3 linked regions of the Cricetulus griseus genome follow. The protein of the gene in region 3 interacts with the protein of the main gene of each other region in a biochemical or structural test. Links are inferred from orthologs where the notes say so. Each region holds a gene or a part of one and is shown on either strand. Other genes may lie near its edges. The genes, in order: Grk2, Grk6 and Adrb2.

The links.
Region 1: the proteins of Adrb2 (region 3) and Grk2 form a complex in vitro, tested with the Homo sapiens proteins (2 studies listed by BioGRID, with this or other methods). The link is inferred for Cricetulus griseus from reciprocal best matches to the Homo sapiens genes ADRB2 and GRK2.
Region 2: the proteins of Adrb2 (region 3) and Grk6 form a complex in vitro, tested with the Homo sapiens proteins (2 studies listed by BioGRID, with this or other methods). The link is inferred for Cricetulus griseus from reciprocal best matches to the Homo sapiens genes ADRB2 and GRK6.

What each region holds. Positions count from the first base shown.
Region 1 is NC_048596.1:54,951,840-54,956,032, reverse strand, and holds the start of Grk2 (beta-adrenergic receptor kinase 1), read right to left. Parts: upstream 2,905-4,193; 5' UTR 2,704-2,904; coding exon 2,591-2,703; intron 1-2,590. UniProt on the Homo sapiens protein: Specifically phosphorylates the agonist-occupied form of the beta-adrenergic and closely related receptors, probably inducing a desensitization of them. Key regulator of LPAR1 signaling.
Region 2 is NC_048596.1:274,442,823-274,445,866, forward strand, and holds part of Grk6 (G protein-coupled receptor kinase 6), read left to right. Parts: intron 1-47; coding exon 48-185; intron 186-476; coding exon of another isoform or gene 477-518; exon of another isoform or gene 519-1,450; intron 1,451-3,044.
Region 3 is NC_048595.1:176,928,112-176,931,269, reverse strand, and holds Adrb2 (beta-2 adrenergic receptor), read right to left. Parts: upstream 1,791-3,158; coding exon 534-1,790; downstream 1-533. UniProt on the Homo sapiens protein: Beta-adrenergic receptors mediate the catecholamine-induced activation of adenylate cyclase through the action of G proteins. The beta-2-adrenergic receptor binds epinephrine with an approximately 30-fold greater affinity than it does norepinephrine.

The sequences.
Region 1 (4,193 bases), on a different chromosome or scaffold from region 3:
CCAGTTACATGGGAGTGGGTGGAGGAGACAAAGCAAACAGGAAGAGTACTATGGCTAGGACCCCAAAGATCTGCGATCCAATCCCAGATCTTTCGTATGGCATGCCTCAAGACCTTGATCATCAGTAAATGAGGAAAATACCACCTGCTGGGTCAGCAGCATACCAGAGTTGTGAAGACAAGGCACTTCACAAATTGGGACATACTGGGCAAATGTGAGACCCAACCATAACTACCTTCAAGGGCAAGAGACATATGCCTCAAGAATGTGCAACATGCATCACAAAGGTGACTGCTTTCCATCGTGGGAGGCTTGCATGCCTAGGGCCACGGCCACTGCAGGGTGACTCCAGGTCCTTTCCTGGCCTGAGCATACCAGTGTTCAGAGTTAAGAGGTTCCTCACCATCCAGACTGAGCAACTGGATCAACAACATAGTGCTGATGGTGCCCTGCCCTTGTACCAATGCCTATGGTGCCGTCGTTGCTTCCTAAAACTCACAGCCTGCCTCCATTCTGCTCACAGACTATCACCCCATCCTGGTACTGTTTACAACTAGTCCACATAGGCATGGCCCTGCCAACTTCACACGATGGTTTTTGGATTAACTAAGATGACAGATGTCAAAATAAATAATGTATTATTAAAAACTCCATTCTCATTGCTGTCACATCGCCACTGCCACCAAATGAAAGGGGAAAGGGGAAGAGGCACAGCTCATTCATCAGGGTTCTAATGCCTGCAGAAGACACTCAAGGCAGGGCCCAGTAGGAGAAATGCATTCTGGGGAAAGATTATCCAAATATGGAGAGTTCTAGAAAAAGGCACCACCTCAAACTTTGCAGACCTCACACCTGCACAAGACTCTCATGGCTGTGGCTGCCCAGAAGAGATAGACAGTGCCCTAGATGCTAACTGCAAGCCTCCCCCTTCTCTTCCCTTGAAGTTTTGTCATTTCTGAACTCATTTCGTCCTAACTGCCGCTGCCCCTAGACAGCCCTGGCTGACACTCGTCTAGTTCCTGTTTTGAGAAATCTGATTGCAAATGTCTTAGAAAAAAAGGGGGGGGCAACGGCCTCTTCGAAACGCAGACCAATTTTTCCTCTACGGGCCTGATTCTCAGTCAACCCGAAACCCAGTAAGCAGCCACTGGAGGAGGGGCATGGTAAGTGTACAACAGCATCCCTGTAAGCTGCCAACCCTGCTCCAACAACTGGGGCCACCAGAGGCCTATTTCATACTGCCCACATTTCACAGAGGTAAAAATCAAGGTCTAAAAGGAAAAGAACTTGCCCCATGTCTTGTGATAAGAGTATGGTGGTAAAGTCAGGAACAATTCTTGGCTGCTAAAGGGACTGTCATGAAAAACTTCTGGGACTGACCTCACCACCCATCCACCATAAGGCATCCTGATGTGTAGAAGACACATCTGCTTTTCCAGACGCAGGACATCCAGGCCATCCTTCAGGTCAAGACAGTGAACAAAAGATACAACTAGAAGCCCTGATGTGGAGGTTGGGTGACACTGAACAAGCCATTCAAGGGGGAGCTGTACCCCCGCCACACACACACACACAAACCTTGTTCTATGGGCACAAAACTACACCTGTCTCACTCACTCTCTGGTCTCCTGTGAGTTCAAATGGGAAGGTAAGTCTATTTGCCACAATATACTGGACAAACCCCAGCTACACTTCTCACATCCTGCCCGATTCTGCACCCACATCCTGAACAGTTTAAACTTTGATACCAGGTGCAATGACATCAGTTGTCTTGCAGAAAGGTGGCAGCACGGTCCAGCTACTGTAGGATGGGCTGTCCCCTCGTCAAAAGTACCTACAAGGCACCACATGGGGAGAAAACGGAGAAGGGACTACCCTCACCTGAGCACAGCCCCGAGGGATGGTAGACACATCACACAGCACTGTCCCCCCAAAGTACTCTCAAATCCAAGCCAGGGGCAGTGACACTACCAGATGAGAAGGCAAAAAAAAAAAAAAAAAAAAAAAAAAGTCTCCAGACTGGTCCTCCCTACTCCACAAACCGAACAAGAGTGTTACCCACTCTGAGGGGAGTGGATAGGACAGTGGAACGCCAAAGAGGGGGGTGCTGGGAGCAGGAGCAACAGACTGGGTAAACAGAGGCAGACCTGGGGAAAGGAACCCCAAGGGGACACAAAGGGTGGAGGGCAGAGTCCAGCACCCAGGGTGGGAAGACAGCTGCAGCAGAGCTAGGGGCTGACAGCGACCAGGCCCAGCAGTGAGATACAGGAAGCGGTAGCGCGGCCGGGAGAGCGCGATGGGAGCTTGGAGTTGGGGCGCTCCGGGCTCGCAGGCACCGGGCCTTGCGGTGGCAGGGAGAGAGGAAGTCCCCGGGTCCTGGGGCGGCCCGGATAGTGGGGTCTCCGGAGCAGAAGATCCGGGAGTATGGGGGTCCCCGGGTCCTGGGGCGGCCCGGATAGTGGGGTCTTTGGGGCAGAGGGTCACCGGAGCAGGGGGAGTCCCCGGGGCCTGGGGCGGCGGGGAGAGAGGGGTCCCCGGGGGCATGGTACCCGGGTCGGCGCGTGGGGCCCGGCAGAGGCGGGCTCCTCACCTGGGCTCTGGAAGCAGGATCTTCTTGCTGGCGCGCGCGGCCGGCGTGGCCTTGCTCTTCTCCATGGCCATCAGGTAGCTCACATCGGCCAGCACCGCCTCCAGGTCGGCCATCTTGGCGGCGGCGGCGCTGTTCCTCCCGCCGCCCGAGGCTCCGCTCCGCTCCCGCTCGCTCGGCCCGGCTCGGCCCGCGCGGCTTGTCGGCCTCGGCGCCGCCGCCGCCCCGTCCGGTCCCCGCTCGTCGCCTGCTCACAGGCGCCGCCGCCCCATGGCGCCGGCTCGGGCCCGGCCCGGCTCGCGCTCCGCTCCCGCCGGGACTGCAGTCGGGGGCCGCCGCCGCCACCACCACCACCACCCGCCCTCCCTCCGCCCGCCCGCGCCCGGAGCTGCCGCCGCCGCCGCCGCCGCCTCCGGCCCCGCTGCCGCGCACAGCGCCAGCGAGCCGCCGAGGGGCCGAGCCGGGCGGGCGGCGGGCAGGCGGGCGGCAGCGCCCCCTAGAGGCCGCGCTGCTCGGGTCCGGGACAGGGACGCGGATCGCAGTCCTGGGCTGTTACCTGAGTCCTGCACCCAGGACTCCGGGACGACCCTAGGGGATGGCCACAAACTGGGATCGCATCTCCTCAGGAGGCTAGACTCCATGCTCCCAGCAGGGCGTGGACCCCAGACCGTGGACGATAATAAGAATCCTGACACCGACCAAGATCCCAGACTCAGATTTCAGAACATTTTCTCAGGATCACACTAACATAAACACCTCGGACCCCAGACCTCGGGTGACAATACTATGAACATTTTGCTGTTGTTTTCCTTATTTTTAGACAGGGTATTGATTGCCATGTAGTCCTTGGTGTCCTGTAACTCACCACGTAGACCGGGCTGGCCACTAACTCACAGAGCTCTGCCTGCCTCTGCCTCCCAAGTGCTGAGATGGATTAAATTGTGTGAGCTACCAAACCACACTCCGATGAGGGCTGAACTTTTTTTTTATTCCATTATTTTTTATTTACTTACTTATGCACATATGGAGGTCTGAGGACAGACAATTTGACAATCAGTGCTCTCTTTTTTTTTAACCACTTGGGTGCCTAGGGATGGAACTCAGATCCTCAGGCCTGGTGGCCTTCTAAGTGCCTCCTTCTATCGTAACCAACTACTGCCTATTCTGTCCTTCCATTACTTGAGAAGCAGAGGCAGGTGTCTTTCTGTAAGGTCAAATCCAGGCAGTGCTAAATAGTGAGACCATATCTCAAGCAAACAAATGAAAAAAAAAAAAATTAGGGGCTGGAGAAATGGCTCAGAGGTTAAGAGCACCGACTGCTCTTCCAGAGGTCCTGAGTTCAATTCCCAGCGACCACTGGTGGCTTACAACCATCCGTTATGAGATCTGGTGCCCTCTTCTGGTGTGCAGACATACATGGAAGCAGAATGTTGTATATATAATAAATAAATAAAATCTTTAAGAGCACCTTTCTGATTTCCAAACGTGCCTGGGCTCTTCAAACCCAGCTCTGGACACTTAGAAACTGATTCTTGTTCCAGTTCACAGACCAGCAAAACAAGTACCCCTACTTCCTTTGCTCTTCTTCACTGCTTTGGATCAATAC
Region 2 (3,044 bases), on a different chromosome or scaffold from region 3:
TCCCTCATCTGTTCAAAGGTACCCCAACCACCTCTGCCCTGCTACAGCTTCTCAGCAAGGACCCTGCTGAGCGCCTGGGGTGCCGTGGAGGTGGTGCCCGCGAGGTAAAGGAGCACCCCCTTTTTAAGAGACTGAATTTCAAGCGGCTGGGAGCTGGAATGCTGGAACCGCCTTTTAAGCCTGATGTAAGTCCCACTCATTCTTGCTCATGGCCTGGACAAGCCAGGACACGGGGCCTTGGAGCAATGGCCTGGTCACTTTCAATGCAAATGTTGAAAAACCCATCTAATGGTTTGGGCTGCCCTCCAAAAAGTCTATGTATGAGTGTTTGTGTGTGTGCATGTGCATGGGTGAAGCCCCACATAGCGTGAGTTTTAGTTCAAGTTGGAATGAGGGTGGACATGGGATGCTCCAGGAACTTGATTCCTCTTTGTCCTGTGGTTGGCTAGTCTTCCATGACAGGCATCTTTTCCCAGGGAGTGGCATTGCTGGACCAGGAGCTCAGGCTCAGATCTTAGCTAGCCAGCTATCCGGTCGACAGAGAGCAACTCTTGTTCAAGAACTTGAAATGAAACTCTAAAACTGTTTGCTGAAGAGATTCACTGGACACTTGGATCACATGCCTTCCGGCCCAGTGGGAGCTTGCCTCCTTCCCACAAGTTTGTGGAGACTGGGTCCAGCTTGGTGTCTGTCAACCACGTGTGTTTATACATTTAACAAATTCCTGAATTCCATATATGTCAGGCTTTGAGATAATGAGGTCCACGGAGCCAGGCCCAGCCTTATGCTCTAATGGAAACACCAAAATAAACCAGCAAGCAAGGAGAGCTTTCAGGTGGTCCTGAGTGCCAGAGGAAAGCGAGTAGGCCAGGAAGGCAGCTATGAGGGGGTGTAATCACTCTCGACGGGATAATCTCTGAGAAGCTGCTGGGAAAGTAGACCTGAGGAGAGAATCATGCAAAGGTCTGAGGACATGAACATTCCAGACAGGCACTGAAGCCCTAGAGCGGGACCAGCCTAGGGACATGGAGCGGCATCTATGAGGCCAGTGTGACTGGAACAATATATGCAGAGCAGGAGCAATGCCATGTTCTAAGGATGGCAGGGTACCTTTGGGGGTTCAACCTGATTTGAGGTGTGGGAGTGGGTCAGAGAGGAGATGAGCGGCCAGGGAGGGAGCCTGAGTGATGGCTCACATGGTAGACGTCACCCACCGAGAGGTCGAGCATCGTCAGTGAGCTGACCCTGCTGCCTCAGGCTGGAGCTGCTGCTCAGGTTAATTCCCGCTCTGTGCTTGTCCTCTAGCCCTGAGATGGTCACACTGCCTGTGGGTCATTGTTCAAATTTAGAAATAAAGTCAGTATCTTGGAACTTAACATTAGAAGCAGTGGATGAAAATGCAAGCTCAACAATGCTTTTTTATTTTATGATTTGTTATGATGTATTTATTATGTATGCAGCATTCTGTCTGCATGTTTGCCTACACACCAGGAGAGGGCATCAAATCTCATTACGGATGGTTTGGTTGCTAGAAATTGAACTCAGGACCTCTGGAAGAGCAGTAAGTGCTCTTAACCTCTGAGCCATCTCTCCAGCCTGCTTTTTTTTTTTTTTTTTTTTTAATTAAAAAAAAAAGTCTGCATGTGTATCTCTGTGTGGGTATATGAATTCAGGAGTCTGTGGAGGCCAGAGGTGTCGGATCCCCCTGGAAGAGCAGTGAAAGCTTTTAGTATCTGAGCCAGCACTTGGCTGGTTTTTGTTGTTGTTTTGTTTTGTTTTGTTTTTTTGAGGATACAACGTTTCTCTGTGTGGCCCTGGCTGTCCTGGAACTCACTCTATAGACCAGGCAGACCTTGAATTCAGAGATCCACCTGCCTCTGCCCCGAGTACTAGGACTAAAGGCTATCATGCCCAGCTGACAATACATTTTTATCAGCTATTGAGATGAAATCACAGTTAACCCATGTAAAGTATGCAGTTCAGTTGAGTCATGTGATTGTCACCACGTAAGATCAGAATGTTTTCACCAGCCTCTCCAGAACCTAAACAAAACCCTACGTCCATTAGGGTTCAGAGTTCTTTCCTCCTGTCCCAGGAAACCACTAGTTCTCCTATATTCGTCTACTTTGAATAATTTAGCTATGTGGGTATATGGGGTCCTCTGAACATCGTCCTCTGTGACTGGCTTCTTTTGCTAAGAATGCTTTTAGGGTTCATCCAGGTTGGAACATAGGCCAATATGCCATTTATTTTAAAAGCTGAATAATATTCTATTATATGGATATAAATTCTATTCATAGTTGACATGAGGGTATCTTTGGGGTGGGTAGGGCTTTCAGGAATAATGCTATTTACTTTTACTTTTGAGATGAGGTCCCACTGTGTTATCTTTAAGTTTTGAACTGGCAGACTCAAGCATTCTCTCTGCCTCAGTACATGTATTGGTATAAAATTACAAAGTCATATATGGTATATCTTGTAGGGAGCTTGGACTTTTCCAGGTCAGACACACCATTTTACAGGATGATCATGATAGTGTGTGTGTCAGTAGGTAGGCTGGTAGATAGTGTGTGTGCTGAGGATAGAACCCAGGGCTCAAGCATGCTGAGATACGCTGTACACCACTAACTACACCTCTAGCCACGTGATAATGTTTTAATTGACTTCCTTTGTGGTAAGATTTTGAAAGCAGATGGTAGTGGCGGCGGCGGCGCACGCCTTTAATCCCAGCACTTGGAAGGCAGAGGCAGGCAGATCTCTGAGTTCTAGACCAGCCTGGTCTACAAGAGCTAGTTCCAGGACAGCCTCCAAAGCCACAGAGAAACCCTGTCTCAACGCGCCCCGCCCCCCCCAAAAAAAGATATTTTTGAATGCAGTGTAGAGATAGAAAAGAATTGGCCTTCAAATGCAGAGGCCAACTCCCAGTAGGAACTGGGAAGACATGGGAAAAACATTCCAGTACTGGACATTTTAGAGTGGAGACCTCTCCAGTCCCTATAGGGAGCCAGTACTCCTCTTCCCACCCCGGCCCCAGTCACATACCC
Region 3 (3,158 bases):
TTACTGTAAACTTTAGACTTTGCTCAGAAAAAAACAGCTGAAGCTGTCCCTCAGATCACTGCCTACAACACTCCATTTGAGCAAATAAGTGGAGCGGGGGAGAGTATATATTCACAGCAGAAAGGTCCAAGACACAGGATTGTCAAGTCCAAGGGTACAGGAAGGAAAACTTCCTTCTGATACAAATTACTAGCAGCAATAATAGTATACCCTAACACTTGACCAATGAGGTAGATGCATGGAAAAATCATCTAAACGTACAGACAGTCCTCTAGGACCAACACGCTTCAGACAGAAACTTTTAAGTTCCGTGCAAAGAGGAACTGAACTGCACAAGAAACAAATAAGCACTCAAATACAGCTTCTCCCCCTCTCTTGTTTTTGCAGCTTAAAAAAATAAAATAAAAAAGGGCAGAAGGATGTTCCCCTTCTGCAAATCTCTATACAATTTTATTCTAAAGTTATTACACTCAAGTTAAATAGTCTGGTTAGTGTCCTGTCAGGGAGGGGTCTTAAAAAGCAGAAAGCCTGCATTACAGTGGTGAGTCATTTGTACTACAGTTCCTCCCTTGGGAATCAAGGCTAAGGCTAGACACAGTACCTTGACAGTTCGCAAAGCTTTCCGTGCCTGGGGTGTCCTCACACAGCAGTTCACTTTCTTTTTCCTGCCCCAACTGACATTCACTTGCCTCCCCCATGTAGTCTGTTTTGCCATTACTGTTGGTGGAGTAGCCATTCCCATAGGCTTTCGCAGAAGACCTGCGGAGGCATAAAAGCTCCTGGAAGGCAATCCTGAAGTCTGGACTCCGACAGTAGATCAGGGGATTGAAAGCAGAATTGACATAGCCCAACCAGTTAAGGAGGATGTAAACTTCCTTAGGGATGAGGTTTTCCTGGATGACATGCACGATGTTGACAATGAAGAAGGGCAGCCAGCAGAGGGTGAATGTGCCCATGATGATGCCTAAAGTCTTGAGGGCTTTGTGCTCCTTCAAGCAGAACTTGGAGGACCTTCGGAGTCCGTGCCCACTCCGCCCATCCTGCTCCACCTGGCTGAGGTTTTGGGAATGGAATCTTCCCTCAGATTTGTCTATCTTCTGGAGTTGCCTTTTGGCCACCTGGAAGACCCTGGAATAGACAAAGACCATGACCACTAGAGGCACGTAGAAAGACACAATGGAGGAAGCAATGGCATAGGCCTGGTTCGTGAAGAAGTCACAGCAAGTCTCCTTGAGATAGCAGGTGATGGCTTTCTTGTGGGTGGCACGGTACCAGTGCATCTGGATGGGCAAGAAGGAGGTAAGGCCGGATACAATCCACACCATTAGGATGACCATTCGGGCCTTATTCTTGGTCAGCAGGCTCTGGTACTTGAATGGCGATGTGATAGCAATGTAGCGATCCACTGCTATCACACACAGGGTCTCAATGCTGGCTGTGACGCATAACACATCAATGGAAGTCCAGAACTCACACCAGAAGTTGCCAAAATTCCACATTTTCATAAGGATGTGACTGGCCCCAAACGGCACCACCGCTAGGCCCATGACTAGATCAGCACACGCCAAGGAGGTTATGAAGTAGTTGGTGACGGTCTGTAGTCTCTCGAACTTGGCAATGGCTGTGATGACCAGCACGTTGCCAAACACGATGGCCAGGACGATAACCGACATGAGGATGGCCATGCCTACCACCCACGCTTCGTCCCGTTCCTGAGTGATGTCGTGGTCCGGCGTATGGCTTCCGTTGGGTGTCAGCAAGAAGTCACTGTCGTTCCCGGGTGGCCCCATCGCTGGCAGACTAGCAGGTGAGTGCACTGGCTTTGGGCGCCCTGGCGCTCTCAGCGGGTGCACCTCCGACGGGGCACAGCCTGCCGGGGACGGACTCCTGGAAGCTTCATTCAGCGGCTGTAGGTGGCTGTGCTGGGGGCGCGTTCTGCACACTCAGCTCGTGGGGTGCTCTGGGTTCGCGGTGCCTGCTAGCTGCAGCCTGAACGCTGGAGAAGCAGTCTCGCAATGCTCCCTGCCCGTTATGTGCACCGGACTTTAGGGGAATTGCTTGGTGACGTGCAACAACTTTGGGCCAATGGTACGGTCGCATGCCCGGAGGGGCGAGGCACCAAGGGCCAACCCTCCCTGCCTAGCCCGCCTCCTCCTGGGGTTGGTCCGGGCGGGGCCCCAGTGCTCCCCGGAGGCCAAGCCACCACTCCCTCCCAGCTACCCTAGTGGGGCCTCAGAGACAGAAATCTGGAGCTGCTGTACGATCCACCAACCAAGCGCAGTCTGGAAGTTCTTCTACCTGTCCGTGCAGGTCACCTCTGCGGGCTGAGGTCTCTGGATGCAGGTGGCACACAGCGCATTTTCCTTTAGGAACAGAGAAGAGAGACTGAACAAGCACACTCGGACACGCATACACAGGCACAAACGCACTCGGCCGACGTGGACATGCTCAGACTTATGCCGCACCACAGCCACAGACACCGAGACACACCCGCGCCCACTCACGCTGGAGACGACAGCTGTCTCCTGGTCCAATGCAGAAAGGTGGCTAAAAACAAACACAGGAATACCTAGAAACATGCAGAAAGAAATGTACACAAGAGCTCATGTGGAGATGTGGTGTGCGGACCATTCAGACACCCATGTCCACATCCAGGTAGCATCCTCCTGAAGCACTTATAAATGACACCCTCTTTTCCCATTCCCAGACTCTCAGTATATTCCCTTACAGTTATTTGGCAAGAGCACAGGAGGTGACTTCAATAGCTACAGTTTCTCTGCACACTTTTTGAAAAATATGTTTTGGCATCCTCCCCCCTTGAGACCTTGCAGGCATCGAGGCAGTAATTTACCCTTTGTCTTTCATTAGGAGTTCAAGTATTTACACATTTAGGGGAGAGTTAGGTGGTTTTATTTTATTTTTAATTCTTGGGAGTGTGGCATCATTTTCTTGTTATATGAGGATGCATTGAAAATGAAAATGTAATATTTTCCTTTTACATTTTTAAAAGTTAAGTTAAATTCATTTATTTTACACATATGGGAGTTTTATCTCTAGGTATGTCTTTTCATTGTATTTGTGCTTATTTTGAAGGTCAGGAGAGAGCATCAGATTCCATAGGACTGGAGATACAGAAATGTACCAGCTCATAAGCTGAC